Rhinolophus ferrumequinum: one gene and its partners. The protein of the gene in region 4 interacts with the protein of the main gene of each other region in a pairwise test. Links are inferred from orthologs where the notes say so. Each region holds a gene or a part of one and is shown on either strand. Other genes may lie near its edges. The genes, in order: ACCS, TUBGCP4, CINP and FBF1.

Region 1 (7,870 bases), on a different chromosome or scaffold from region 4:
ACAGCAAACAGTGGGCTCCTTCAGAAATGGGCTCAACTGACCGTGTCATTACCCTCTTTAAGCTGAGCATCTGTCATTTTTAGAAGCCTTGCCTCTTTTTCCTCTTTGCTAGCCATTGTGTGTGGGCACAGAATGATTTTACGGGGTTAGGCTGGGAAAGGCTAGAGAAATCAAGGGAGCTCTCTGCGTCCCTACTTAGATGCCTTTATTTTTGTAATCAATACCCAATAAATTCTGTATTGTCTTAAATTCCAGGCCTGTTTTATTTCTTCCTCATTCGTCATAATCACCCTTGGGAACTCTTTAACCTGTTTGTCCTTCTATTTTTAAATTCTAAGGCAGGTTGTATGTGAAAAATAGTGAATTCATTGGATGAATGAGGGAGGGTATGGGACCAGAAAAGAAGGGGAAGATGTGAACTAGAGATGCTCTTGGAAAACTCTGTAATGGTAGTTAATAGACAGTCCTCCAAGGTAGTTCGTTATACACATATCACATGTACGAGTATGTCCTCAGAAAAGATAGCCTAAAACAAAGGCAGCCAGTGCCCCTGCTTCCAAGACAGGCAATAACATGAGAGGCCCAGGAAGAATCATCTCCTGACAGTATCTGTGACCTTGCGAAATTCACTTATTAGCCCTTATTGTTTTGGGGGGATTTATTTGAATTTTCAATGTACCCAACCATGTTGCCTATATAAAAAAAAGATAGTTTTCCTCCTTCCTTTTCAGTATTTATTTCTTATTTTTCTATTCTAATTGCTTTGCCTAGAACCTCCAGCACAATGTTGGAAAGTGAAGAGAGGGGACAGTCTTGCCTTGTCAGTTTTAGCAGGATTGAGTTCAATCTCTTAAGTATAACGTTGCTGTAGTTTTCATACTGGCCTTGACCAGATAGAAAAGTTTCCTTCAATGCTAGTTTGCTGACAGTTTTACCATGAAAGGGGTTCAGTTTTGTCAGATGTTTTTATTTCTACCGCTAGAGATAATATAATTCTTTAAAAATTATTAATATGGTAAATTACATTGATTTTTTTTAAAAAAAGGTTAAGCCAATGTCATATTCCTGCCATAAACTCCAAATAGTCATGTCATTTGATATTAAGAATTTTACATCTATTTTCATGAGGGATATGGTGAGATATTTTTATATATATATATATATATATAAATATAAAATATGTTTTATAATGTATCATTGGTTGCAGTGTCCAGGTAAAACTGACCCCAAATTTTTGGGAAGTGTTCCTTTCTCAAAATTCTGAAAGTTTGTGTCAAATTGATTTTTTTTAAAAAATATTTAATTGTTTGGTAGAATTCACCTGTAAAGTCATCTTTTGTTTTCTTTGTGGAAAGGTTTTTACTTTTTTTTTTTTAACATAATTTCTGTAACAGATATAGGGCTATTCACATTTCCTATTTCTTGTCAGTCTTGGCAATTTGTCTCAAGAAAAATTTTCCATTTCATTTAAGTTGAATTATTGACATATAAGGGAATGTTGAAACAATTCTATCCCTTTAATATCTGTAGGATATTATAGTGTCCATCTTTTTCTTCGCTGATATTGAAATTAGTTTTTTGATCAGTTAATCTAAATGTTTATCAATTGCATTGATCTTTTTGAAGAGCCAACTTTGGGTTTCATTGCTTTTTCTCTGTTTCTCTTCTGTTTCATTTTCCACTCTTTATTTCCTCTTATTTGCTTTGGGTTTAATTTGCTCTTTTTCTGGCTTCTTAAGGGGAAACTTAGATCAATGGTTTTAAGCAGTTTTTTTTTCCTAATATAAGCATTTAAAGCTATTGATCTCTCTTCAAGCATTGCTTTAGCTACATATAATTTTGATGTGTTGGGTTGTTACGATCATTCACTTTTCTAATTTCTCTTGTGATTTCTTTTTTTAATCTATGATTTTTCTAGCATATGTTACCTAGTTTCCAAATATTTGAGGATTGATTGTTTAGCTATCTTTGTTAATGATTTCAACTTTAGTTCCGTTGTGACTAGAGAACATAAACTATGATTTTAATCCTTTGAAAGTTATTGAGACATGTTTATGGCCAAGTATATGGTTTATTTTGGTCAATGTTTCATATACACTTGAATTGAATTCCGCAATTATTGGGTGTGTTGTTCTACAAATGTCAATTAGGTTAAATTGTTTTGTAATGTTTAAATCTTCAGATCCTGTCATTTTATCAATCTTTCTATCACTAAGAGAGGGGTGCTAAATTTTCCAACTATAATTATTGATTTGTCTATTTCTCCCTTTTGTTCTCTCAGTTTCTGCTTCACATATTTTAAATACTTATTATTAAAGGTATAAACATTTAAAAATCATTATCCAGGTGAATTGAGTATTTCATTATGAAATGTGTTAATTTTTGGTAATTCTTTTTGTTTTGAAGTCTACGATGTCAGATATTATGAACATGTCAGCTTTCTTATGTTTTCCTTTTTTGGCTATTAAAATACACCTAACACGAAATGTACCATCTTAACCATTTTTAAGTGTATAGTTCAGTAGTATTAAATACATTCACATTGTTGTGCAGCCAACCACCATCCATCCCCATAACTCTTTTCATCTTGTAAAATTGGAAATCTATACATATTAAACAATAATTCCCCATTATCTTCTTCCCTCAGCCTCTAGCAACTACCATGCTACTTTCTGTCCCTAAGTACCTCATATGTGGAATCATACAGGGTCTGTCTTTTTGTGATTGGCTTATTTCACTCAGCGTAATGTCCTCAAGCTTCATCCATATTGTAGCATGTATCAGAATGTCCTTCCTTTTTAAGGCTAAATAAGATTTCATTGTACGTATACGACATTTTGCTTATCCATTCATCTGTTAATAAACACTTTGGTTGCTTCCATGTTTTAGCTATTGTGAATAATGCTGCTATGAACATGGTGTACAAATGTCTTTGAGACCCTGCTTTCAATTATTTTAGGAATATACCCAGAAGTGAAATGGCTGAGTCATATGGTAATTCTATTTTTAATTTTTGGAGGAGCCTCCATACTGTTTTCTGCAGCAACTGTACTATTCTACATTCCCACCAACAGTGCACAAGGGTTCCAATTTCTCCACATTCTTGCTAACACTTATTTTCTGTTTTTTGGATAGTAGCCATTTTCTTATGATTGTTATTTGCGTGGCATATTTTTTCCAATTTTCCTTTAATCATTTGTTTTCTTATTTAACAATGTATCTTGCAAATACCATATACTTGAATCTTTGTGTTTTATCCAGCCTGATCTTTTCATTGATCCTTAGTCATTCTGTTTAATGTAATTATTAATATGGTTGAATTTAAGTCAACTATTTTGCTATTTGTTTTCTATTTGTGTCATGTGTTCTTTGTTCATTTTTTCTTCCTGCCGGCCTTCTTTCAGATTAATCAAACATTACTTAGTTTCCCATTTTATTGCCTTTTTTGGCTTCTTAGTTATTTATTGGCTTCTTAGTTATTTGGCTTCTTAGTTATGGCTTCTTTTGATTTAAAATAAAATTGTTCTAGGAATTAATACTATATATACATTTCCAACATCTGCAGGAGAAGTCCACAGTCCTTATCACAGTTTATTTACAAAGATTCATGACCTGACCCTTGCTTGTTTCTATCTCCAGCCTTTCTCCCAAACCTGGAAAACTCCAGAGGTACTGGCTTTGTACTGTACATTAATGTTCTCCACTGACTCTAACCTTTAAGGGCCTATGAAAATGTTCCATCTGCTCTAACACCACCTTCTACCGCCCACACCCCACCCCCTTCCCCAGCCAGCTAGCCAACTAGGACCCATCCTTCAGAACTCAACCTAAGTGTTGAGGGTGAATGGACTGTGTAGGGCTTCCCATGTGGGGCCAAAGCATGTGTTTGTGGGGTGGGGTTAAAGCATACCTGCTATATGCTTCCATGGCACTCAGCAATCCCTTTCTTAACAGTTATCATGTGTATGATCAACCATCCAGGCCTGCTGTTTGATTTGCCCATAGCTGTGTCTCAGGATTTTGCAGAGATCGGACACAAAACAAGCAATAAAACTACTTATCTGAATTAAATGGAACACTATGGCTTAAATGGAGAAAACTGTCTTATTTTACAGAACAAAACACTAAGGATGGAAAAAGTCATGAGAATTGCTCGAGGTCAAATGGCAAAGCTAAAGTGAAGACAAATGGAGTGGTCAGAAGACAGCCAAGTCTTCCCAGCCACACTTGTGTTGAAGGAATCTGCCGATGTCCTTTCATGAGCAAAGGAGACTCAAGGCTCTGCGCATGCCTGGGCCCTGGATCATCTAACTCACTGCCCAAGCCCCAGAATATCTAGGGTCATGGCAGAATTTAACAAATGTTCCATAGATAGAAAGGAGGAGAAATTACAAACTCAGGTGAAAAACTCCCATACGGGAAGGATGTTTTAAGAAGGCTCTCGCCTTAATATGGAAAATCTTCTCCGTGGGCCACAACCAGGCATGTATTTGCCAAGAAACCCCCGTGGCTCTAGCGGCCTCAATATTGGGGAACTGAGGCCCGGAGGCAGAGGAGGGCGCCCCCACGAGCCAGCTGGGGAGACCAGGGCGAGGAGGTGGCCCCAGGAGCTCGGGCAACAGAGCGTGGAGATGGCAGCGGGCTACTCGCGCCTCTCAGGGGTCTCCGCCCTGGGCTTCTTCCCCTTCTCCGGCTTCTCCCGGGGCCTGGGCTGTCAGCGGACACCGGAAGGGCCGGGGGAGCCCCGGTCCACCCTGTGCAACCGGGTGTGCGCGTGGTATCCTGCAGGCCACACGGAGGCGTCCTCCGGCCTCAGTCGCAAGGGGGCGAACTGCTCTTTTACCAACCCGGGAAGTCACGGGGCGCAGACGTTCCCCAGCCCCCAGTCCGGGAGCCTTAGGGCTGGGTCGCCCGCGCAGAAAGCACCGACACTGACCTCGCGTCTCCTGGGTGTCCACGTCGCACCTCCAGCTCGGCCAGGTCGGTGTGATTCCAGCTGTGCAGACTAGGAGCCCACCCTTTGTGAAGGGCTCGAAGACTCTGTCCTTCCGTCTCGAAGCCCTGTGCTCCAAACACACTTCCTCCTCTTGGAGCCTGGAGCTGTGCGGAGGACCGCCGCCTGCAGAGGCCCTGGCGCTTTCCTGGCCGCCGCGATCGCTTCACTGGGTGGGGGGATCTGAGGCCTGGTCGGACTGTGGACTCAACGCTGCTCCTCCAGAAGCCGGAGCCCGCCCTTGGCTCCCGCACGGCACAGTTCACCCCTGGCCCCCGGCTGCGCGGCCCTTGGCCCTTCCACTGGCCTGGGCTCCGGAGGTGCCCAGCCAATTCGGGAGGACCCCAGAGGCGACTTTGTGGAGCAAAATTTAATCGGGGAGCCCCAAAGTTTTTAAGCTGCTGGCTGGTCCCCCATCATTTGGTGTGTCCTGAGTTATTTGGTGGGTGGGGCTTGTGCGTTAGGACTGGGAAAATTTGGGAAGAGTTATATATTTTACTGAACTTTGGCCATGAGCCAGGATTTGTTTAAGCGCCTTATCTACACGAACTCATATACTTATATCCTCACTGCTACCCTATGAAGTAGTTACGGTTATACCCATTGTGCAGATGAGGAAACTGCTTTAGAAAGTGGAGGAGCTCCCACCTGCTCTCAGGATGAGACCACCCAATCCTGGCACCCATGCCTCCCACCACTGGGAGGGAAGAGCGGGCCTTGGAGCTCTGCCTGCGTGCCTGCACTTGCAGAGATCCCCACTCTCCACCCGGTAGGCCCCACCCAAGGTTTGCTTCAGACCATCTATAATCTCATCCCACCCCTTACCCCGATTTACATCAGTCACGATAAGACCTTTTGGGACTCCAGGCTTTTTCTACTTTAAGCCAAAAAAATTCTAACCTGGGTTTTTGAAATTCAGGTCAGCAAAAATGGGAAAAGACAATTGGTGACCCCTTAGGCTGCAGAATGAAAAACCCAGAAAAGTAAAACAAACACCTATATAGTCAAGTCATATAAAAGTAGCAAGCGCAAACCCTGGCACGGAATCCATCCTTAACAGAATTTGCTTGAAGGGATTGCACACATGGTTACAACTAGTCAGGGACACGATGCAGTTAGTCCATAAAGTTAAAGGAAGGGCAGATAAGGAAGGGGGAGGGCCCCATGACTCCCAATTCATTTTTGGGGGGAGGGGATGAGCGATGGCACAGCTCCCAGTGGCCCATCTGGGGATCTAACCGGCAACCTCAGTGTTATTAGCACCACACTCTAACCAACCGAGCTAACCAGCCTCCCCCATCCCAATTCATTTTTGCTGGCTTGGTCCTGTGGAAAGTCCTTGATCAGGCATTAAGTGCTTTTGTCTTTTTGCAGATGTTCACCCTCCCTCAGAAGGAATCCGGGGCACCTACTACCTGTCTGGACCCAGCTTCCACACAGGGCCTGGGCAGTAACTATGGGGATGGTCTGGGAAGAGACTGCGCCAGAAAACCAGACCAGAAGCTGCCGAAGCTCTATGGAGTGGGAGATCCCATCGCCACATTCTCCTCTGACAGCTCCCACCTATCCTCGAGAGGAAGAATCATTAAATGGTTTTGGGACTCGGCTGAGGAGGGCTACAGGACCTACCACATGGATGAGTATGATGAGGATAAGAACCCCAATGTGAGTGAAGCCCTCCTCTCCAATGAAGGACTGCAGGGTGGGATACCCTACCATGACCAGTAGGGCGGCAGCCAGTTTGCTCTTGTCAGGTTGGACCTATTGTCCTCTGATCTCCAAGAGGGCTTCTGATTGTAGCTCAGAGAGGCCCTAGTTTATTACCTGGATCAGAAAATGACCCAGTTATAATTAAGGGGACCTTGATTTGTGAGGAATTCAAGAACCATGGAATGCTCTAATGTGGATTCTGACCCACAGTGTATCAACTATTCAACTTTAGAGCTGGGACGAACTAAGGCTCAGATCGCAACTGTTACTCTTAGGGGTTGTGTATTCTTGAGCTAATTATTTAACCTCTTTGGACCTCAGTTCATCTCTAAAATGAGATAATGAGACCTGCTTTTGTAGAACAGTCACAATTAGATGAAATCAGGTCTATAAAGTTATTAGCACGGTGCTTCCACATAAAGCATTCAGTAAATGATAGCTGCTATTATTATTAATGTTATATGTTAATGTGTATAATGTTATCATAGATATATAACATTATCGTTAGAATAATTAATGTTATTATAAGTTATTAGTAATACTTTCAGAGGGCAGAGAGCTGTCACAAACAACCTTTTAATAATCTTTATTTCTTGAGCATCCCCCAGGGGCTGGGCACTGTTCTAGATGCCAGGGTTGTAGCGGTGAACAAAAATAAAGCTTCTGCCCTCATGGAGTTTATAGTCTAATGGGGAACACCATATCTACATATGGTGGCAAGTGTTATAGAGAAAAAGAAAGCAGTGTAAAGAGGATAAAGTGATGGGGTGGCCTGGGCATGTTACTATTTTATGTGAGGTGATCCCAAAAGGCCACTTTCATAAGGTGACATTTGAGCAGAGACCTGAAAAAAGTGAGGGTTTTTGTTAGTTATCGGTTGCTGTCTAATGAATTACCTGAAATCGTAGCAGCTTAAAACAAACATTTCACAATTTCTGGGGCTCAGGAACCTGGGTGGTTGCTTCAGGCTAAAAAGCTTCCGTGAAGTTGCAGTGAAGCTGGGGCTTCAGTCTCCTCTGAGGACTTGGCTTGGCGGGGGGAGGGGCCCGCTTTCCAGCCCACCTCCATGGTTGTTGGTAGGACTTAGTCCCTTACCACATGGGCTTCTCTGCAGAACTGCCCCATGACATGGGCTTCTCCCCCCAGAACTTCCCTGGGGGAAGCCCC
Region 2 (7,200 bases), on a different chromosome or scaffold from region 4:
AAAGCCCCAGGGATCCTGTTCCACCCAGCTTCTCTCTCTCCTGGATGGTAACAGATCAGCATGCATTCGTCTGTCTCCTGTGTGACTGCCTCTTGGCAGTTCCTTTTCCTTGGAGCCTACATCTGGGATCCAAGACTCTCCTCGCTCCAACCTGGAGACCACACCGGATTTAGGAAATGGAAATCCTGCTTGCAGGGAAGCAAACAAAGGATATCATAGTTTGGACTGACCATAAAAAACATCTTTGAGTTCAGACCTGCCTTTTTTTACCCAAGAGACTTATAAAGAAAGTGTCTAAGGAAATATTTTCAGAAAGTTCAGTGGGTTGAAGAAAGGGAAAAATACATGAAACCAAAAAATGAGAACTATTTTATTTTCCAAAGCAGGGTAGCAAGAGAGGAAAAGGTTTTGTTGGTATGTTCAGAGCAGGTAATTCTGTTCCAAGGTGCTCCCTAGCCCTCCTGGCCTCCTGTAGGCAGGTCCTAGCCCTGCTGGGAACAGCCACCTCCTGTCTCCTGTAGTTCTCCACTTGGGGCTAGAGAACTAAACTCATAGTGATTTCAAGGGGAACAGAAGGAAGATGGTCTTCAGCCCATCTGTTTCCTTCACACTCAGTCACTAAGTTCTAAAGGTTTTTCCCTTAGTATGCCCTTTCCGTATTCCTACTGCCACCATCCAAGTCTTACCTTCTCACACCCAGATAACGGTCACTGTTCTACCAAACTCCAGGCTCTTGCTTCCTCAGCTCACATACGTACTATACTGCTGGACCTTAACCTGAGTGCCCACTATGCACTGTCCATTCATATCAGAATCTTCCCCTATCCCAATTTAACCCACTTCAAGAAGCTGTATTTGCCAAAGCCCCCTTGAAGCCTTCCTACAGCCCTCCCTTATCTCCCACTCTGTTATACTCACACAATTGAGTGACAAACCATTGTTTGACATTGTTTCAGTACAGTTCAGTTCAGCACATATTTATATTTGCTGTTTAGTTCTCAATCATATTGTAAGCTCTCTGAGGATAGGCATCTTTTCTTATTGCAGAATACCCTGCAAGGTGTTGAGCACATGATAGGTGTTCAAAAACTGATTAATTCTGCAAGTCTGTGTGTGTGTGGTTGAGGGAATGCATCTGAATGACTAAACAGACCATTACCAAACTGGCTGAAAAGGCTGGCGTTTTGGCCGATAAGGTCAGAATTCAGAACAACCTCAATAAGTTAAAGAAATGATCAAAGTAAAAAACTTACAATTTGGAGTTCAACAGAGTACAAAGAAGAAAAACAAGCTCTACGCAGTCATGTACAAGAATAGGCGCTAGGCACAAAGACAATGGGGACGGCTACGAGAGTCCTGGGAGTTACCAGGTGAACAATAATCATCAAAGAATTAGTCGAGCTACTCGGAAAGAAAATACAGTGAAATTTTGAAGTAAAATTCTTACTCTGCCTCAACCTACCAGACCCTCACTGGAATAATATATCTAATTTAGTTCTCCACAATTAACATATTTGGAGAACTTAAAAGTTTCCAAGGGAGAGTAACAAAAACAGTATGTCTGAATAATGGAGCTTCTGGCGAAAAGTTTAAAGAAACAAATACAGTTTATTTTGGAGAAGGAAAATGACTAAAAGATGTACCTTCAAATATAGAAAATAATTTTTACCTAGAAAATACTGACCTAGTATCATTACCAAGAGGAAATAAAATAGTTCCGAGTTCTGAAAGAAACTAGGGAACCATCCTCTGGCAGACTTATCAAAAGAGGAAATAACAAGAATACTTACTGCAGCAGAGCTAAACTACATGCCTTCAGGAGGTCCCCAAAAACTGCATACTCTACAATTTTCACTCATTCTTGAAATCCCTTTCCCACTCACTATTCCCAACCCTACTTCCCAACTTAGAATGGCATCCTATCTTCCCATATGAATCTACTCCTCACCGCTCCTTTGCAAAGGTCTGAGCTTCTCCTTTGGGTTCATCTGCTCCTGCGGTCCCAGGTCTGGGCTTCTTGCCCTCTCTTTCTTGGGTACACCCCTGGGCTGAGGTTCCACTGACTCCTGCCGAACACTTAATAACTCTCGTGATGATTTCAGGGGTGTCATCTTCTCCAAGCGCACTTCCTGCCCCTTCACAGAGACTGTGACCTAGAAACAACCCCCATTAATTGTCACTGCAAGGTCATAATGAGGGGCATTCCCAGAGGAGATTATTTAATACCCCAAAAGAGACCATCCTCTTGGGACATGGCTAGGGTTGGGTGAGGGGTGTTAATAGTGAACAAGGGTCATTCTTATTCTGTTACTGTTAGCTTAGAGCAGCCGGAATTCCGGAAGGAAAAGATCAAAACAGTAAACCCAACTATAGGCTAGAAAAATAAGTCCACTTTCTTCCTTATTAAGTAAAAAACTATGAAACTATGAATAATTCATTATGACAGGGTACCAAAGGTACACCCAAGTAGCCTCTCTAGATGATCTGTGTCTGAAAAAGTTACCTGTTCCAGGATCAGAAGTATAAGCATCACCACGGGAGATTATGCCCCTCTTTAAACCTGTCTATACCTTAATTTGGCCTTTTATCCTTGCCCCAGCCCAGTTCACACACTTCTGAATTCCCCCTCCCTTCTCACCGAACGTCCAGGTCTTCCAGGCTCTCTTTCTAAATCTTCCACCAGAGCCACAGCCTCTTCTCCACTTTCTGGACATTGCTCCTGTACCCACTTCTGGATTTCCCCAGGTAAGATGGTCAGGAATTGCTCTAGCACCAACAATTCTATAATCTGCTCCTTGGTGCGCACCTCCGGCCTTAGCCACCGACAGCAAAGTTCCCAGAGTTGGCTGAAAGCCTCACGGGGCCCAGCTACCTCCTGGTAATGAAATTTCCTGAAGCGCTGTCGGTAGGTCTCCGAGTTAGTGCCATTTCCTCTCAGAGTGGGTTTGGCCATCATTCACAGCAGAAAGCAGCTTCCCTCCACTTAAGGGTCTGGGTTCCAGGGCTTACACCTATCTTCCCATGTCTTTGGAGAATTACCTGCAGATGAGTCTCTCTCTCTTTAAGAAGAGTGGCCTCCTAGGGTAGAGAGAGAGGGCACTATCAGAAGGAATATACTCATATGTCTAAAGTCTTGCCAGAGCTGGCCCGACTTTCCATATATATGCTCCATGTGGCCATCTGAGGCATCATCAACTCCAGGACAGCAAGCCAAAACAGCATGGAGAGAAACCTTTCAAAAGCTGCATTTCTGGGCGACTTCCCAGGGGAGCCCGGGGAAGCAGCAAAGAGTTGTCTGCTCCTCTTCCACCTCCCCCAAATCTGATCCCACTTAGCTCCCTTAACCAATGTTGCACAATGAGTTTGAACCATATGGGAAACCTGGAGCTCAGAGGATCTAAAGGCAAGTCACCATCGTGTTCAAGGCAACAAAAAGCCTGTGTCCCGCGGGTCGCAGGTGACCTCACCCAGTACCTCCGCAGTGCTTCCCGAGGCCCTCTACGTCCGCCCTGCCCCCTTGGACACCACAACTGGCAATACCCACCCCAGACAAAAATCAAGTACTGAATCTCGGGTCTTTGTTTTCCCTCACAGCAGAAGTAACCGCTCAGCAAAACATTCGGGAACTACTGACGGGAGACCTCGCGCATTGGGAGAAGTTGGTTTTGGCTTCTGACGCGAGGGCCGGGTGGGCTTGGGGAGAGTCGCACTGAGTTGGTGGAGAGGAGGATTCTGAGGGGGTAGTAGTAATGGGTCTCCTGAGGACGAGCTCGGGTGCCGGCCGGAAGATCCGAGTGCTGCGAGGTTAGCGGGCGCGGAGTTCAGCTCTAGGAGCGGCTGGTGCGGGGTTCCGGCCTCTTTGTCTTCGCTCCCTCCGGCCAGGTCACTCTCAGAGCCGTCGTGCAGTCCCCTCCAGAGGCCCCCAACCCGGCTAAGGCTCTGAGAGCACCTTCCGGTCCATCCCCGGGAGTGTCTCCCTCTAGGGCTGTCCCTCAACCCACTCGCATCTATGTCCGCGGGCCAGCCTCACCCACCCGGGGTCGGCCCCAGGCCCGGCAATCCAGCCTCCTAGTCCAGCTCCAAAACCGGAAGTCCGAGTGGGTGACTCAGGCGCTGAGGGCGCATGCGCAAAGGCAGCTACCAGGACTCTCCGGCGGAGCCGGGGCTGGAGCTAACGGGGAACCCAGCAGAGCCGGCGCACTTCCGGACGCGGCGCGTGGACCCCTTTCCCGCTCCCTGTGCGCTCCTCCCGCAGCAGTCGCGGCGGGTAGATTCAGGAGGAACCGTAGGTCCCAAAAGCCTGTGCACGTTTCCAGAAGGGAGCATTCGACTCTGCGGTCGCCTGGAGAGGCGCTGGAGGAGGGAGCGACGTATATAGGGACTTGAGATCCGGCGTGGGAATGATCCACGAACTGCTCTTGGCTCTGAGCGGGTACCCAGGGTCCATTTTCACCTGGAACAAGCGGAGCGGCCTTCAGGTCTGTCCGGCTCAGAACGCGGAAACTGACGGGAGCTGAATGGGTAGACCTGAGCCAAAACGTGGGGGAATTCTGAGGGACTGAGGGGGCGGGCCTTGCAGGGCCGAGGGGCGGGGGGAATGGCCCTGCTCAGGTACTGGAGGGCAGTGCCCCGAGGGGCCTACGGCTGACGTAACACCTTGAGAGGGCTGGGCTTAGGCTGGGAAACGGAGGGCAGACCCAGAATGACCCCGCCTTCGGGGAGGGAGAGAGGGAGCCCCGAATCCCGCTTCAAGTTGAGGTGTTTGAGCGAGTTGCTGGGCAACTGGATGTAAAAGTGAAGGAGGCACTTTCTCCCATTTTCTCGCTTGCACTGTTTTAAATTGAGTTTTGAAAGCTAGACCAGAGGATAACACACAATAAAGGTTCAGCCAATTTTGTTGCATGAAAAAAAATGAATGATCATTTCTCAGGAAATTTCCCTCATGATCATTTCTCAGGAAATTTGTGCAATAGGAGAACTTGGAAGGGGGCCTTCCTGTAACCAGGAATGCATGAGGAGGAAGGGCTGTGTACTAGATGCATTATCTCATTTACTCTTCATAACCACCTAACTCCACACAGATAGTAATGAGCAAGCTTGGCCTTGAACCCAGGTCTGTCAGGCGCCAGTATCTGAACTACTCTTGTACTTCTGCCTCCAGTAATGTTATCTAATCCTCTGGATAAGTTAGTAACTAGGTATTGTTAGCCCTAGTTTACAAATGAGCAAACTGAAGCTCAGAGAACTTTTATGGTTGGTGGTTAGTCCTGATAATGGCAAGAGTTGTAACTAGCTCTGTCTAATGACAGTCATGCCTATTCATATGAGACTTGGCAGAATAGGCTGGGGAAGAGCAGAAAAATTATATTTTTAGTCTATAAAACCTATAAACCAAACAGATTCCTATTGTTATTTATTTTCCCCTGTAAAACTAGCACAATGCCAGGCATATAGGAGGAAAATGTTCAGGAAGTATTTGTGTGTGCTTTATGATCTGAAGTAAAAAGAGATAACAATATAGAAAAGATAGCTGCCTTCCTTTCTTATAAAAAAGTTTCCATCAGATGTTTTCCTCAGGGTCTCAGCTTTAAAGTCACCTCAGAAAAACTTTCTCTGACCATCTCTTTCAGTATCCTCCTCCCCTATGCCATTATTTTCTATCACAGCAACTTGTTTTTTTCCCTTAGAGGACTTAACCACAAGTCATATTATTTATTGTTGTCACCTCTTCCTAGTCTTTTTCTTGCACAGATTGCCCATGGAGGCAAAGACCACAGTGGTCTTCATGGATGTACCAGAAGCACCTGGCACAGTTTGTGCCACAGAGTAGATATTTGTGTAAAAAAAGGCCACCAAAACCAGTAAATACTGCATACTTTCTGCAGAGCAGTGGTTTTCACATTGAATAAAGGGGAAAATTGTCATGAATGCCCAATGTTGATAAAAATCATTTTATTGTCATATTGAATATGTATACATATTACGCTAAGTATAAACTCAAGCATATTGCTCTCTTGAACAGCTATAAAACCAAATATTTTTACAAAGTAAGCAAAACTACCAAATTTACCAATTCACATTAACACTGGCACTATTGACATTTTGGACAGGATAATTCTCTGTTGTGGAGGGCTCTCCTGTGCATTGTAGGATGTTTAGTAAAATCCAAGGCCTCTGCTCACAGGAGGCCAGTAATACCCCGAGTTGTGGCAACCAAAAATATCTCCAGCCATTACGAAATTTCCTTTGGGGGGCAAAATTGGCCCTGATTGAGAACCAGTGATATAATGTGACATATACTGTTGTTTTGCTGAAACTAAATCACCAACATTGAATTTAATAGTAGAATGACTTTGCCACAGATCTGGCTTTATATTTTCTGTTTTGACTTCAGTAACTCTAACGTAGAGAATGCCTGTTCATATAACTAGGTTACACCAAATGATATCAATAACTTCAAGGTATTGTTTGCTGTTATAGAATAACTAGACCTTCAGCTTTTCTAAAACTGTGCCAAAAAGCACTGCTCAAAATGCCAGTTTTAATGGGAGTATCACTTGCTAGCTGGGTAGAGCTGTCCCAATAATAAAACTATTGCTTACATATATTGAATACTTGTTATGTACTTGGCACATGTGATGTACATGTCATAACTTATTTAATCCTCACAATTATTATCGCTGCGTTATAGGTATGAAAACTGAGGCATAGAGAGGTATTGAAATCTGCCTAAGATTTCAAGCAAGTAAGAGGCAACTCAGGGATTCAAACCCAGACAGCCTGGCTCCAAAGACCAGGTTCTTAAGCACTACATCATGATGCCTCTGAGTTATTAATTTGTGGATATGGTTATCATTGTGTTATTAAAATCTACATTAAGGGGATTCCTAATCAAATTATTATGGACTCAGAAACAGAAAAATTCTTCTTTGCCTATTTATTACCACATTTACTGTCATAGAAAGATGGCATCCACAAAATACAATACTCACTATACGAATGTGCAATATGCTAAGCTCTTTGGGGGTAGCAACTATATCTAATCTTGTTCAATATTTAATTTCAGAACGTTAACACAGTGCCTGGGATAAGTAAGTTGGTTGATTCTCCAAAGAAGATATATAGTGGCCAATAAACAAATGAAAAGATGATCAATATCAGTAATCATTAGGGAAATGCAAATCAAAAGCATAGTGAGAT
Region 3 (7,326 bases), on a different chromosome or scaffold from region 4:
AAAGTGGCCCCTCTGCCCCCCGAGCACTCTCTCTCACACCCTCTCTCCATACACCTCTTTCGTTTCTGTTGACTCACCGTCTCTGCCTGAGCTCCTCCACCACCACCCCTGGTCTGTAAGCCCCACAGGAGCAGAGCCCATGTCTGCCTCACTCACTCCTCTAGCCGCTGGCACCTAGAAAAGGCCAGGCACATCAGAGATGCTCAGTAAATATTTACTGAATAAATGAATGAGTTATAAAACAGGAACATTTGCAAGGAAGGAATTAGTGACACGAATGGAAGAGCAGCAAAATATGATCTTTTCTCCAATGATTCAATTCAAACCTGGAATAATAATCTCCCCTCCCGCCCACCCCCCCAATCTGTACAGAATATGCCGTTTTCCAAGAATTTTCAGATTCCTACCTTGCTTGGTAGTCACAATAGCCAACACAGAGAGATAAGCGGGGTCATCTCAGAGAACTTTTCTACAGGTGACAAAAATAATCATATCCCTCTGTGATGGTTAAGAACACCGACTAACACACCCTCTTTTAGCAGAAGTTGAAGCTCTGGAAGATTCAGAAATTTGCCCAAGGTCACACAGTTTTAAGCGCAAGGAAAATCGGGATGGTGAACTCTGGTTCTGTTCATACAGCAGCACAGTTCATAAATGTATAACTTTTTAAGAACAAGACCAATCCTTGGTTTGTGCGAGTACTCCAGAAAGGTGGGCAAGACCAACGTGACCCAGAAATCAAATGACAGCAAAACGGCTGTCAGGGCTGCTGGCAGACACCCTGGGAAAGCATGTAGGTCATTTAAGGACGGGACACTAAAACCAAAATGACAACAATAATAATAGCAATAACAGTAATAGCTAACACTATGACTTAATAGAAACTGTCCTTGCACACTAACTCATTAAATCCTCACAAAAAACCTGTGAGATAGGCACGATTGCTATCTCCATTTTACAGACAAGGAAACTGTTCCCATTTCAACAATCTCAATCCAATTTTTAAAGTTAATAATGCTTCCTTGGTCACAAACATTTCCATTGAAAATACAAAACCCCGCTCCACAATAGGCCAGGAGGCTTCCCCCCCTTGTTAGTACCATCGACCCCCTACACCAGGAAGGTGGCAGCTCACCATGCTGACTGACGGCACCCTAATGCCATCTTGGCAGGCAGTTTTCCAAAACTGGAGCTAAGACAAACAAAATCTAGTCCAAATCATTCACTTAGCAGTTCAGCGGCCATAAGTTGCCAGAGCACTCTGACAACTCTAATGGTTTAAGGATTTTCTCCAAAATCTCTAGGAAGTGACAATTAGAATCCTGGTTGTATAATCTCTTTTTAAAATCTGGCTACAACACCTAGTCTTTTTTCTTTTTTTTTAAATTGGGGAATATTGGGGGACAGTGTGTTTCTCCAGGGCCCATCAGCTCCAAGTCGTTGTCCTTCAATCTAGTTGCACAGGGCACAGCTCAGCTCCAAGTCCAGTGGCCGTTTTCAATCTTTAGCTGCAGGGGGCGCAGCCCACCATCCCATGCGGGAATTGAACCATCAACCTTGTTGAGAGCTTCTGCTCAAACCAACTGAGCCATCTGGCCACCCCTCTGGCAGCTCAGCGGGGGCTTGTTGTCTTCAATCTAATTGTGGAGGGCGCAGCTCACTGGCCCATGTGGGAATCGAACAGACAATCCTATTGCTCAGAGTTCACGCTCTAACCTACTGAGCCATCGGCTGCCCCAACACCTATTCTTTTAAGTGTTAAAATCTTATGGCTGAACATAATGAGATTGAGGCAGCTTTTTATCTTCCAGATGAAATTTTGTAACTTCCTTGGTCCCATGCCTGCTGATAAGCCACTGCTCACAAGCTAAAGCCTGATGAAAGCACGGAAGTAGAACATTTTAAAAAACATGGTCTGTATCTAGCTCCATGCCAGGCTGCTCCTCCTTCCACTCTATGCTGCAGCCACAGTGGACTTTCCACCACAGTCCCCGAACACACCATGACCTGTATGTCTTTGCAAAGTCCCTCTCCTCCCTTCCCCATGGACCTACACAGCTTGTAAGGACTAGTTCTCCACCAGGAAGCCTTCACAGACTTCCTCTGACACTTAGTGGGCCTTTCTCTGCTTTCACAGAACGCTCTGAGGGCAGTGACCACAGGGCACCGTCATCGTTTGTCTCTGTACCCTTCAACGAACTCCTTCCGGTCTTTGCTTCCAGTCTACATACTTCGTGGTGCTGCAAAAGACCAGTGAAAACACTGGGCCAGAAATCCCACAGTACGACAGCCCAAGATGTAAGACTACTCTACCATAGTTACTGTCATCATTATGCAAAAATGCACTGGTCTGCAGTGCAGGGCCAAAGAATACACTCATTTAAAAGTGAACACGCACTTTGAACAATAGCTCACTTCTAACTACTCCCTGCTGATTCTACCACGCTCCTTGTACTGCACGAGATCCAGAAATCTCTTATGTATGACAACGAAGCTTCTTTTCATGTAACTGTTTCCTGATCTGCTCTTTCACTTTTCCATGCTCAATCAACTGCTCTGCCCGCTGCAGTTCCTTCTTTTTCCTACTAAGTTCCAGCAGCCATTCTGTCCAACTATGCAGACAGATGCTAGCTACCATGAAATATTACCTTCCTTAAACTCCAAGTGTAACTTCTCTAAGAGAACACTGCAAAATCCATTTTTCCATTGAAAAAGACAATGTGGCTACAAAGTAACTTAAAACTAACAAAAGCTACCCACTAGTCACTCCTGAAGACTATCCTTAGCAGGTCTTCCCCACCACCCCTCTCCAAGCCAGTCCTGAAAACTGAAGCAGAGCACCCCTATGCCTGTACCAGCTGGTTCTCTGGGGAGAAGCTCCCTGAGGGCAGGGGCGAGGTCTGCCTGGTCCACCACTCAATTCCTAGAGCCTGGCATGGTGGCTGGCATACAATGGACCCGAAATAACGACCTGGGATTAAGTGGGGTTACCAAAGAACAGCAAGGTCAGAGGCTCATCAGGGTGCGTTGTGGCTGAGTGTGAGGAACTATAAAAAGCCTTGCAGCTCAGGAGACACGGGTGACAAGGGGACACATGCTGGGATTTGGGTTTGGGGATTTCCCAGAAGTCCTTTCCTTACAGTTTACAAGGCGTTGAGGACAAAGAGGCAGTCAACCCCAAGTGCTACTGATCACTCCAGCAGACAAAGCAAATGTGCACCCAGGCTGGTCCCCCACATTCTGCCACCAGATGAAACAGAAGAAGCAACAGAACAAATTCCTGAATCTCAGTGCGAAAGTGAGAAAGAACAAAGACCGGGGAAGAGAAATGGAAGTAGAGCATGTGGGCAAGGACAGCAGCTATCCTTTCTGGAAATGTAGCGCCTGCCAGGCACTGTGTTTAGCACCTCACGTGCACTGACCTATTTAATCTTCCCACCAAGACAGAGGCAGAAACTACTATCATCCCCATTTTACTGATGATGAAACGGAAGCTTAGAGAAGTCATATCACCTGCCCCGAGCACACAGTTAGGAGGGGGCAGCGCTGTGACCTGAATCCCATTCTTGAACCTGCACGACCTATTCTGCCTCCCAGGCCTTAAAACAGGACAGAGAGAGGTTCATGTATCCATTTACCGAACGCTTACTGAGCAGCCCCTGGGTACGTGCCAAGGCCTGGTGGGCGGATGAAGGCACGAGGGCTGAGAGGGTCGGGAGACAACGCAACAGCGAGCAGAAGGCTAGGGGGCTGGAGCCTCGAGGCCGGCGGGCAGAAGGGGTGCAAGGGTGCGGCGGAGGGAAGGAGCGGTGTGGGAGGAGCGAGGGGCGCCCGGGCCCGCGAGGCGGAGGGCCCGCGGATGGGGTCAGCGGGCCAGCGCAGCACAGGACGGGAGGACGGCTGCTCGGCTCGGCGGACCGCCGGCTTTGGCCTCACGTGTTACGGCATTCAGCCTCGGCAACCCAGCGCGGGAGAGACGGGAGCGGGGAAGGGGGGCGAAAGCGGCCGGGCGACCCCGAGGCGCTGAGCCGAGGGAAGGTTGGTCCGAGGGAGGCGTGAGCGGCGGCGGGGAGCCAGAGAAAGGGGCGCGGGGCCGGACAGCGGGGCCGCCAGCCGCGTCGCCGGACTCACCTCCCGCGGCAGCCCCTCGGGATTCCTCGGCCCCGCCGGGCGGGAGGAGGCGGGGTTGGACTCCGGGACGCGGGGGCTGCCGGGAGCCCGTTCCCCGGGCAACCGGGCCGGCCCCGCCGAGCGACAGCGGATTCCGCCGGGGGCTAGAGCGACAGAGCTACAAGTGGAAGCGGGCGGGGCGCGGCGGAAGTGATGCGTCCAGCTTCCGGCGGCGTGGGCGGGGCTTCGGGTCTCTTTCCTGGGATATCGGCAGACTGCATGGATGGTGCGTAAGACGGGCCACTTCCCCGGGGTGGGGCGGTTGTGGGTGTCACGGCGTGGACTGCGGGCCGGGCCTGAGGCCAGGAGCCTCCCGGGTTGAATGGGGTCCGTGCGTTGCCCCATCCCAACCCTCTGGCCCCGCGCGGGCTCTGCAGTGGGTCCGGGAGCCAGTCAGTTTTTCCGAGCATCAGTTTTTTCACGTATACTGGTAGAACGAGATGCTGCACCCAAAGAAGTGTCAGCAGATCCTGACATTCAAATTTTAATTGTCATTATAAAATAGCATTAGCCGAGCCCTTTTCTTGAACTCTCCTCAGTCGGAATTACCAGCCACAGAGCTTTTTGCCTGTAATAAAAGCTATCATTCAGCGAGTGCTCACTATGTGTCAAGGAGCGTTCTAAGTACCTTACGTGGATCAGTTCATTTGAGCCTCGCAGCGATCCCATGAAGTAATGTCAATTGATGGGGAGCCGCGGCTCACGGGATAAGTAATGGAGTCAACTACTGTCCCTTACCTCACTCCACCCAGTCCTGTGACTCTTACTGGTCTGTCCTTCCTACTAGCTTGTGAGATGCTTGAAGGCAGAACTGGTTTTGGTTCCTAAATTTGTGCTCGATGTGGGGCAGACAGATGATGAATCAGATGTGGTCCTCACCCTTAAGGACCTCCTGGGGGAGAGAACCCCTTAGAAGATTATATAGTGTAGGTGATAAGAACTGTTTCTCCATTTAATACATTTTATTCAACACCTACTGTGTGCTGAGGTTATGAGAGGGAACAGGACAAGTATAGTCCCTACAATGCTGGAACTTACAATCTTAATGGGGAATATAGACATTAAACAAGCAAATCCACTACACTGGTGAGTGTCATGATAGTTGACGTGCAGATGTCTAATGCAGTAACTCCCAACCCACCTTGGCGTTTTAGGAGGACTTCTTTGTGGAAGTGACTTTCTAAAAACCTAAATCAGATCATGTCACTTTCCTACCCAAAGCTCATTGCTCACTTTCCATTGACTTGGAATGAATAAATCCAGACTTCTTATCTCAGCCTGTAAAGTTCTAATTGTCTAACTGCTTCCCACTTTCTACTCCTGTTCTCTGTTTCATTCTAGCCACACAGGTCTTTTCTTTTTTCAAACTCACCAAGGCCTTTCTCACACTAGGGCTTCTCATTCAGGTCTCAGCCTAAATGACACCTTTTTGGGGATCACTCTAACACAAGAGCCCGTTTTATTTTCTACATGGCACTTAAAACGATCTAAACTGACCATGATAATCTCATTGTCTGCTGTCCACTTCCTCTTGGGAAAGTAAGTCCCATGACAATGGACCTGGCCTGTCTCATTTACTTGCTTCATCCCCCATGCCTGACATATTGTAGGCATTCGACTAATATTAGTTAGTCGTATAAGTAAAGAATGAATGAAAAGTCAGTATGCCATTTAAAAGCAGAGCCATAAATATACTAGGAGTTAACTGGGTGACTGGGAACACACACTGACAGGAAAAATATTTCAGATCAAAGTCAGAGCAAGTGGGAGAAGCTGGAGACGTGACGGACAGGACTTAGGTCACAGAGGCTGTGGTATTATGGTTTATAATAAATAAACGTTTGGTCTTCATCCCATTCCTGGCACAGAGCTCCTAAAACCCATGGCATTTCCTAAGTGGTAAGAGTGGTAAAGGTGTTCTTTTGTTATGTTAATGATTGACTTTTGGAATGGCCCTAGGTCATCCAAGGGTGGGGGATGCTTATCTGGGAACCTGCCTTGTGATTAGAGAGTTGAAACTTTTAGTCCTAACCCACCAACCCCCACCTCCAGGAAGGGAAGTGGTGCTGGGGGTTGAATCAATGACCAATTATCTAATTAATCATGCCTATGTTATGAAGGCACTATAAAACTCACAAAGAAAAGGACAGGGTTCAAGAGTTTCCAGGTAGGTGAACAGGTGGGGACTCGGGGAGAGTGGAGCACTCAAGGAAAAGGAAGAGCGCCTCTTCCCACACGCCTTGCCCTGTGCATCTCTTCCATCTGGCTGTTCCTGACTTATATCCTTTTATAATAAACCAGTGATCTAGTAAGTAAAGTGTTTTCCTGAGTTCTGTGAGCCTCTCCAGCAAATTAAACTCAGGGGAGGAGTCTTTGGAACCTGCCATCTATAACTGGTAGGTCAGCAGGTGACAACCTAGACTTGTGAGTGGCTTCTAAAGTGGAAGTGGGGGAGGGCAGTCTTGTAGGACTGAGTCTTTAACCTGTGGGATCGATGCTCTCTGCAGGTAGATAGTGTCAGAATTGAGTTTATTGCTGGTGGTGGTGGTGGTGGAAAAAACACACTGGAGAGGTCCTTGTGGTAACAGATACTCTGTTGATTACTTGCCATTTGCCAGGCCCTCACAACTTTATGTATATTATCTAATCTTTACATCAACACTTTGAAGTAGATATATTTTATCCCCATTTTATAGATGAGAACATTGAGGCTCTGAGAGGTTAATTAACTCGCCCAAGATTGCACAGCTGGTAGTGGCAGAGCTGGGTTCTAACCCAGTCAGTATGGTCGTCAGAGTCTAGACTCCAAACTGTACCACTGTTGTGTGTGTCCTGGACTCCTGAAGGGACCTCATGGAATTTGGTCTTCATCCTGTGGGCCAAGAGAAGCTTTTAAGGGGTTCTAAGTGGAGAAGGAGAGAGGGCACAGCAGAGCTGGGAGAGCCCAAATGGCCTGAGTTGGCTTTTGGTGTTCTGGGGGTTGCTTTCCACAGGAGCTGGAATCTGGATGAGTCTTAGAGCCTGGGCAGCACTCACCCCAGGAAGGAAAGAACTTTCTACCAGAAAGAACTGCATGTGCAAAAGCCTGCAGGTGACTCCACTTATCCAGAAATGCCAGTAGTTCCTTTTAGCTGGAGATTGAGGGGGGTTCCAGGC
Region 4 (7,799 bases):
CATACGATATGATTCCATTTTATATAAAATGTCCAGAATAGGCAAATCCATAGAGAAAGCAGAAAAGTGGCTGCCTAGGGTTGAGGGGAGGGGAGAACAGAGGGGTGACTGCTTAATGAGTATGGAGTTTCTTTATGGGGTGATGAAAATGTTCTGGAACTGTGCTGATGATTGTACAACTTTGTGACTATATTAAAAGCCACTAAATTGTATGCTTTAAAAGAGTAAATTTTATAGAGTATATTTGAATATACTCTATTCATATATAAATATAGAGTATATTTAAAGAGTATATTTGAATTATATCTCAATTAAAGAAAAAAGAACAAGCCTAAATCAGGTGATTCTGGGACAGGGGCACTTACTCTCATCCCCCAGGAGGTCATCAAGGACATCATCAAAGGAGTCTGCAACAGAAAGGGTGGCATCATGACTTCAGGAAGAAAGACTGGGCCTTACAGCCTCACCTCCTGAGACCTCCCCCCAGAACCTCAGAGCTCTCAGAGGTAGGCTTAGCTCTCTCTTCACTGGCCACGAGATGTTTTCTAACTTTCTAGTAACAAGTCACAACGCCTTATTGAAAGACCTTAGCGTAGAAATTGAAAATAACTTTCTCAAAGCATGATGGTGAAGATTTTCAGGAGAACCTAAGTTCTACGTGACACACTGGCCATCAAGCCCGTGTTCTAGGCTCTGAACAAAGCCCAGTGTGCTTCTTCGGGAAAAGTGTCCAAGATTTCTAGGCACATACAAGCTTCTTTCATACTGATAGTCTCCTTGTACCCTTCCATCTGAGACCCCCAGAACTGGTCTGGAGGCACTCTTCCTCGGCCATTTTCTGATGGGGCATGTGGGGAAACCCAAGTGCGAGTACTGAATTAGGTCTCACATCCGCTTACGAGCCTTCACACTCCTGACCTCCATCCATGTACTTCTGGATACAGAGCCCAAAGAGCAGGAGTTTTTCCCAAGTCCCGTCCCTTGCTCTGTATTACTCTGAGGGCCAATCAGGCAGCATAAGGAGTCCCCTAGATAGACCAGAGCTCCCTGTGGAATTATGGGGGCTCCAGCAAGACACACTAAGAACATTCAGACACCCATAAGCCTGAGTTCTTTTTAGACCCAATGTGAGGTAAATATTTTTGGCTTAAGGATGATATTCCATCTCGCCACTCACCTTTCAATCCTTTCTTGACTTTTGGTGCCTAAAATGGGAAAAACAAATCACTTGAACAAAATCAAACTATGAACATGTGTTGAAACCGAGAACGCAGAATGGATTGCTTTGCCTTTTGCCAAGTCACCAGGGGAAAAAGGAACACCAATGGCATTTAGAGACAAGAGGCCCTTTATACTTTTCTAGAGTTTCTGAGAATAGACTCACTCAAGAGCATGAAAACAGTGCTCACTAACTAGCACTGGTTGCTACTGTGGGCGCACCCTTCACGGGCAGAAGTCTCTTTTTTTCTGATTTCCAGATGCCACACGCAAACCCTCCCAGACATGATGTAATGAGACTGAATCTTTTCCTCTATTCCATGTCCTCGAATCCTCAATACCAGGGACAGATTTAAAAATGATTCCAGCTGGACATTCAGAGGCTCAGAAGAAATGCTTGCTCATTGCTTAATAAAAAGTTTGATATCAATGCTATGTCCCATTATTCTTCTCCAGGGACCACATCCAGCCCCCTCAGCACTCCATGCAGTCAAGACGCTGGGGGTGGGGACGGATTCACAGTTCCATACGTCTTACTATGCATTCTGCCTACCATCTCCAGGCTCTCGGGGCTGCTTGCAGCTCCTGCACAGCGCTGTCCAACTCATTTGAATTCTGCTCCCATCACGCCCATGCTCCCTAATGAAGAAAATTAAAGTGGATGCTTGAGTCCATGGCCTGTCAAGGCTTCTCTCACTTTACCCATTAGAGAGGTCAAAACTTATTTCCATAAATTAAAAATTCCTCATAGAGGGAGCAATTCACATGAAAAGCAAAGTGTTCTGGGTAACTTGAGCTTTCCCAGGCCTGGAGATTACCCGCATAAAGTTCACTGCTCCTCATCCCCTACCCTGAAACAGGATGCTGGAGAGGACAGGTACCCACCTCAGAAAGGAGGTGGTGCCTGGCCCTATGGCCAATACGTCTTTCCAGGCAACACCCATGACTACTTTCTAGGCAGCATTTGGCACAAACAGCTGATGTGAGTGCTGGTTATTCCTTGACAATGTTTTCACCAACAATGGAAATTTTTCCTTCACACTAACTAAATCCGACTCACCCCATTTACAGAGAACTGTTTTCCCCAGAATTATCATTCTCCCCTGCCCCCTCCTCAATGTTATTGGTACCGACCTTTGGCACGCCTTGGAAGAAAGGAGTCGGAAGGGGCCATCTCTATTTTCTGATGATGGCCTGTTCTGTTATTAGACTGCAAAGTTCATCTGGGGGTTACATACAGGGGCCACTCTGAATGTTTGTTTCTCTTTCTCTGCAATGGCAACTTTCACGACCTAGAAGTGTAAACACGATTTGTCTCATATTTCATCCTGGAACTTCCAGTCATCTCCTATCGATCGTGTCCCAGCCTCCCAGACCGCGAGAATCTCTGAGATGTATGCGAAGGCCACAGGGCCACAAGAACTACCACGTCGTCGCATTTACTCAGCCAACTCCGTGCCAGTTATTTGAAAATCCCGAGCCCGCCCCTTAGCAAGAGCCCTCCCCTTAGCAAGGACCCTTCGGGAGGCACCCCCTCGGTCCTGAGACTCCGCGCCCCTCCAAGTGTCATCCCCTGCACGCGCCCAGCCCATCCAGACGCCGAGCGCAGCCTACGATCCTCCTAGCCCCTGAAATTCCCTGGGTTACGAGCTATTCCCTTCCGGAGAGCAGTAGCTGGGACCTGTCCGAGCCATGGCCGTTGGTCCGGGTTCCTCTAGAGCCCAGCTCGGTCAGACCTCCCGCTTCGGACCCTCGAGGACACCAATCTCTCAGTCGCCCGGCCTCCGACAACAAGGCGAGGCGCGAGGCATCCTGGGAGTTGTAGTCCGAGGCCCGCTCACCGGCCGGAACCAAGCAAACAGGGGACGCCAAAAGTACCTACATTTCCCAGGGTGCCACGCCGCGGCCGTTAGTCCGGGCCGGTCCTCTGTTCGTGGCTCCTCCCGTTGCTAGGGGCTGCCTCAACGCCTTTGGGAAGAGGGGTCCAGTCTCCGAGGCCAGCGGACTTCTTCCTCCTGCCATTCATTCCATGGAGGCCTGGGCTCCAAGACTAAACGCTTAAAAGTCCCTCCAATACTCTCCTGAGGGCTGACTTGTGGCAGGGTGGAAGGCATGAGAAACGTGTTAAGATTGGAAGATGGATGTGTGAAACGATATTATGTATTTATCCCACTCCTAAGCTTAGGGAAGAGATCTTTCTGTTCAATTAAGAAAATCAAAGATGCAAAGCCAGAATAAAACCCAACAACGTAAGCAATGAAAACATGTAACAGTTTTTGTGTTAATTACAGATTTTATTAACGGTCTTTCAATTTTACAAAGGAAAAAGGGATTAATGGCTTGGCTTACCGGAAGGCCAAACAGTGCTAGCGGGTCACTGCCATCTAACCATGATTCACACGCTCAGGACCCTCAGGACCAGAACCCGTGAACCTCCTTGTACTCCCACCCCCACTGACGGGTCCAGCCAGGGATGGGTAACAATACATACTAAATGCATCGTCAGGTAGGAACCAAACTCAAACCACAACAGTAAAAGGAGGAAGGGTGGCAAAGTAATTATACCCTCTAAAAGATGCAATTGTAAATAAAGTGGTGTTTACAAAGTAGTCAGCAGTCTGAGTATTATGTGGAAGATCACGTATTTATCTAATCTATGAAAATCAACAGTACTGTGGCAAAACAACTTATTTTGGTTCAGAATTCTTAAAATCACTCCTAATTTTCCATGATCTTTCTGAGATAATGAATGGCCCACTTAAATTTAAGGCAAAATCAAACAAAACCCCCTTGAAATCTAGTAATTTGCAGGTCTGCAACAGCTAACATCTGGTAACTCCTAAGTTTCCTTATGTTTCTGTGTACTATCATGGACCACAGGAATAGTTACTGAAAAATTAATAAGTGTGGAGAGCTAAAAGCAGAACTCCCCCACCACTATGTTAAAATGAAAGAATGGATCATTTTAGTCATTTACATGATTTGGTCTAATCCTCCAAGAATGTAGTAGTAAATATTTAATTAGCTCAAACGACCTCCACATTATTCCATTAAAATGATCAAAACCTTTATCTGAGTCAGGAGAATCAACAAGACTCTTGATCTCAGGTAGAATAATCAATTTCCTGACACTGCTCCTCTTGGGCTGCAGTGGGAACTAGCTACTGCTTGAAGACACCCTGAAACCCCAAGGCATACCTTCCACATATTTAAAAAGATTAGCAGGTGTTACAGACCATCGGCATCTCTTCTCTTCCTTCCTAATAAGATGGATGCAAAGAACTCAGAAAGGGGGAGGAGGGCCTGAGCAGCAGTTATCTAAAGAAATTTAATTCCCCAGGGATCTCTAGGATCATGAATTTGAAGTTATATTTCTCCAGCCAAAGCCCCGCACTGAAGAAAACCAAGAATTAAGATCTGACATGTTAACGTTAGGAATTAGAAAATGCTTCCAGATACATGAAATTACAAGTGAGTTCTCAGAAAACACATGAATATATTGCAATTAAGCAAATATTCTGAAGAAAAACTAAGACTTATCAGTGTTATGTTCTGAAGACAAGACCATGAAGGGCCCCAAGGCTTTGGGACAAACTGTATAGAGGTCACTGTCTCATAGAGCATAAAACAGAACTCCAAACACTTGAGGAAGAATCAACCTTTATCTGTTACAAATAGCAAAATCATCCCTATTAAATCTCAAATTTTCAATTATGGGTACTTTTTAAAAGAGGCTTGTATCGATATTATCTAGTAGAAAAATCTCATTAATTCTACTCAATATTTATCATCATTTTGGAGAAGTCAGGGTGAAGTTTATCTTTGTACTCTGTGAAAACGGCTCACAAAACAACACAACACAACCAGACTTATCTACGGCAAAGTTTGGCTTCTGAGGGACAGCAAACGACCTGCGTGCTTTGTAGCAGTCAACAAAAAATTCTCAGAAATCGACCAGAGAGCACTCAGCCTTTGTGACGACGACAGCAGTTGAGGTGGATTTCAGCGCTATCTGCTCCAGCAGGTCTCACTCCTTCCTTTTTTTGTTCCTAGTGTTACCTAAACTTCCTAAGCCTCCATCTTACAATTCTTCGTAATTTGAACTTATGTTTAATTATGTGGTACACTCTTTCCCTCTTGATAGTGCAAATTAGTGAGGTTTTACTACATCTTTATTCTTTGATCACAATGAATAAAGTTCAAGACAAAACATTACAATGTTAATAAAAGTAGTCTCAAATATCAGATTTAGTTTTTAAATAAAACTAGGTGCTGGACTAAAGGTGGCTCTGTTGTATCTACCACCTGTTCAAATCTGCTACGATAGTTCCCAGATCTATGCAGCTAGATTAGATGGGTGTCATTTCAAACACCCTCAGGTGCTGATTACAGGTATTCACCTATGAGTAAAGTACTTAACCACTGATTTTGAAACAATTCTACACTTAACAGGTCACTATTAAACAATTTATATTTACTTTCTGTTATTTCCCAGAATCTGAGCTGTCAAGATGTGCCAAATGAGATTAACAGAGTGCTTTTTACTTCAATCTTAAGACAATTATCAATTAATTCTCCTGGTGTAAAGATTAAGGCTTGTGTCAACAGACAGTATTTCTGCTGGACCTAAAATACTCATATTACCAGTTCCACTGGAATAAGATTTTATGTCAGGTCCCAAGATAGGAATTGTATTTCCACTGAGTTATACTACATTCTCAAGACTGATTCTAGAACAACGGTTTCATGAGGCAGATGTCACAGATACAGTTAACAGGTTAAAAAAAAAAAATCAAGTAACATGTTGTTTTGCATTGATTTTAAGAATAAAATTCACTAAGAGGTACACATTTACCCTCTAAATATAGAATGATTGTGTAAATTAGATTTCAGCTGAAAGGACAATTTAGCAATTCAGATAAAGCTCCTAGAAACATACTGAAACTAAAGCCAAACATATAATAAGAAATAATTCCATGGAACTTCCATTTGTCCTTTAGCCATAGTTTCAATGATTATGTTTTCTGATCCAAAAACCAGAACACATGGTTTGTCAAAGGACTTTTGTGTGCTACTCCTGGTGGTAAGAGGTAACCTGAGTGATGCTTTACTTTTGTAATGCCAGGCACTATAAACTCCAAGCATTGCAATGGTTTATGCCAAAATGACATGAAATCAGAATTGCTCCAGAATATCCAGTTAATATGGTCACCGAAGTTACAGTAACCATAACTGAGAGCTCTCCCTACACTTATTCTACTAGGAAGGAACTGTGACTCTTCTTTCTTTCTTCATTATCTCTTTCGGGAGAGGTTAAGGGACAAGGAGGGAGGGAGATCAAATGCCACCGACAGGTTCCATCAGTTGCCAATAGTCCTATGTAGAAATAATTTTGCTACCCACCCCTTCCCAAGAAGTTGCTACTACAGTGACAATTTAGGGATCCTTCTAATGGAAGATTAATTCCCAGTTACACAGGACAATGATCCTGCAGTAGGCCTATGCTGAAAAAATTCTTGTGAGAAAAATGCTACCATGAGCAAACAGAAACAGTATGTCAGCAACCAAGGGCAAGCAGGCAGAAAATGTGTTAAGCACAAACTCACACTAAATTTTCTGATTAGTTTCCTTCCCCCAATCCGTTTTCTGCAGTCCTGCTTTTAAGTCAGGGCCCATGGCAGGAGCAGTAGGGCGTTTAACAGGAAAGCTTGGGAGGGGTGTATCTTTGCTTAAAAACACATATATCCAGTGATTAGCAACTAAGATGTGATAATAATTAACTACTTAGTAGTTAAATTCTACTAATTATCAAAAGTTATGGCCTACTGGGATCAGCAGCGTTACAAATGGACGTCATACTGTATTTCTTAAAGCTTTTTCTGAATGCTTGACAGGTCTCTTTCAGTGTTAATTGCACTTAAAACATATCTATTTTTTTCATTTAATCTCTGAAAGCTCTTCATTTTTTTCTTCATTAATAAAGAAGAAAGGGATCAATTTATCATCTGTTCTATCGCTCTCTGATTTCGATCAAGATTCCACGCAGATTTGTGTGACAGGTATAAGGGGAGTAGAAGAGTACAGCTGCTTCCTGGAGCAGATAAAACGTGTCATGACATTCAGAGCTTGGACTGCAGGGGCTTCAGGTGCTTGTAGTAAGATTCATGGACCTGTGAGGAAGGGAGAGAGAAAATGACTCATCAGGAAGTTGCAATGTAAAAGAGCATACTTTTAATCAAGAAATTATCTGGACCTTATTTGGATCATGATCCAAAGAAATTGAAGAGGGAAAAAAAGAAATGAGCCTACTGAGGAAATCTGGACATTGGGTAATTCATGATATTAAAGAATTATTATTAATTTGTTTAGGTGTGAGAATGGTATTGTTATGTTTCTGAAAAAAGTCCTTATCTTTTAGAGATACATACTGAAATATCTATGGACAAAATTAACTGTTATCTTGGATTTGTTTCAAAAAATAATCCTCGGGAGGAAGGGGTGGGGGTTTCAGATGAAACCAACTGGCCCAAAACACAGAGTTGCTAAAGCATGACAAAGGGCATATGGAGGTGTATTATCGT

The links.
Region 1: the proteins of FBF1 (region 4) and ACCS interact in a two-hybrid assay, tested with the Homo sapiens proteins (2 studies listed by BioGRID and IntAct). The two-hybrid records come from large-scale screens. The link is inferred for Rhinolophus ferrumequinum from reciprocal best matches to the Homo sapiens genes FBF1 and ACCS.
Region 2: the proteins of FBF1 (region 4) and TUBGCP4 interact in a two-hybrid assay, tested with the Homo sapiens proteins (2 studies listed by BioGRID and IntAct). The two-hybrid records come from large-scale screens. The link is inferred for Rhinolophus ferrumequinum from reciprocal best matches to the Homo sapiens genes FBF1 and TUBGCP4.
Region 3: the proteins of FBF1 (region 4) and CINP interact in binary tests that used the Homo sapiens proteins (3 or more experiments, as listed by UniProt). The two-hybrid records come from large-scale screens. The link is inferred for Rhinolophus ferrumequinum from reciprocal best matches to the Homo sapiens genes FBF1 and CINP.

What each region holds. Positions count from the first base shown.
Region 1 is NC_046294.1:16,465,369-16,473,238, reverse strand, and holds the start of ACCS (1-aminocyclopropane-1-carboxylate synthase-like protein 1), read left to right. Parts: upstream 1-5,009; intron 5,010-5,257; exon of another isoform or gene 5,258-5,321; intron 5,322-6,364; exon of another isoform or gene 6,365-6,367; coding exon 6,368-6,658; intron 6,659-7,870. Other genes in the region: probable inactive 1-aminocyclopropane-1-carboxylate synthase-like protein 2, read left to right, coding at 4,483-5,009. UniProt on the Homo sapiens protein: Does not catalyze the synthesis of 1-aminocyclopropane-1-carboxylate but is capable of catalyzing the deamination of L-vinylglycine.
Region 2 is NC_046289.1:62,429,775-62,436,974, reverse strand, and holds the start of TUBGCP4 (gamma-tubulin complex component 4), read left to right. Parts: upstream 1-4,181; 5' UTR 4,182-4,400; coding exon 4,401-4,478; intron 4,479-7,200. Other genes in the region: ZSCAN29 (zinc finger and SCAN domain-containing protein 29), read right to left, coding at 1-188, 1,949-2,153, 2,639-2,956. UniProt on the Homo sapiens protein: Component of the gamma-tubulin ring complex (gTuRC) which mediates microtubule nucleation.
Region 3 is NC_046289.1:2,522,806-2,530,131, forward strand, and holds the start of CINP (cyclin-dependent kinase 2-interacting protein), read left to right. Parts: upstream 1-4,308; 5' UTR 4,309-4,323; coding exon 4,324-4,396; intron 4,397-5,322; exon of another isoform or gene 5,323-6,566; intron 6,567-7,163; exon of another isoform or gene 7,164-7,261; intron 7,262-7,326. UniProt on the Homo sapiens protein: Component of the DNA replication complex, which interacts with two kinases, CDK2 and CDC7, thereby providing a functional and physical link between CDK2 and CDC7 during firing of the origins of replication.
Region 4 is NC_046304.1:50,761,037-50,768,835, forward strand, and holds the start of FBF1 (fas-binding factor 1), read right to left. Parts: upstream 3,008-7,799; 5' UTR 2,900-3,007; intron 2,511-2,899; 5' UTR 2,353-2,510; intron 1,858-2,352; 5' UTR 1,775-1,857; coding exon 1,772-1,774; intron 1,206-1,771; coding exon 1,178-1,205; intron 408-1,177; coding exon 366-407; intron 1-365. UniProt on the Homo sapiens protein: Keratin-binding protein required for epithelial cell polarization. Involved in apical junction complex (AJC) assembly via its interaction with PARD3. Required for ciliogenesis.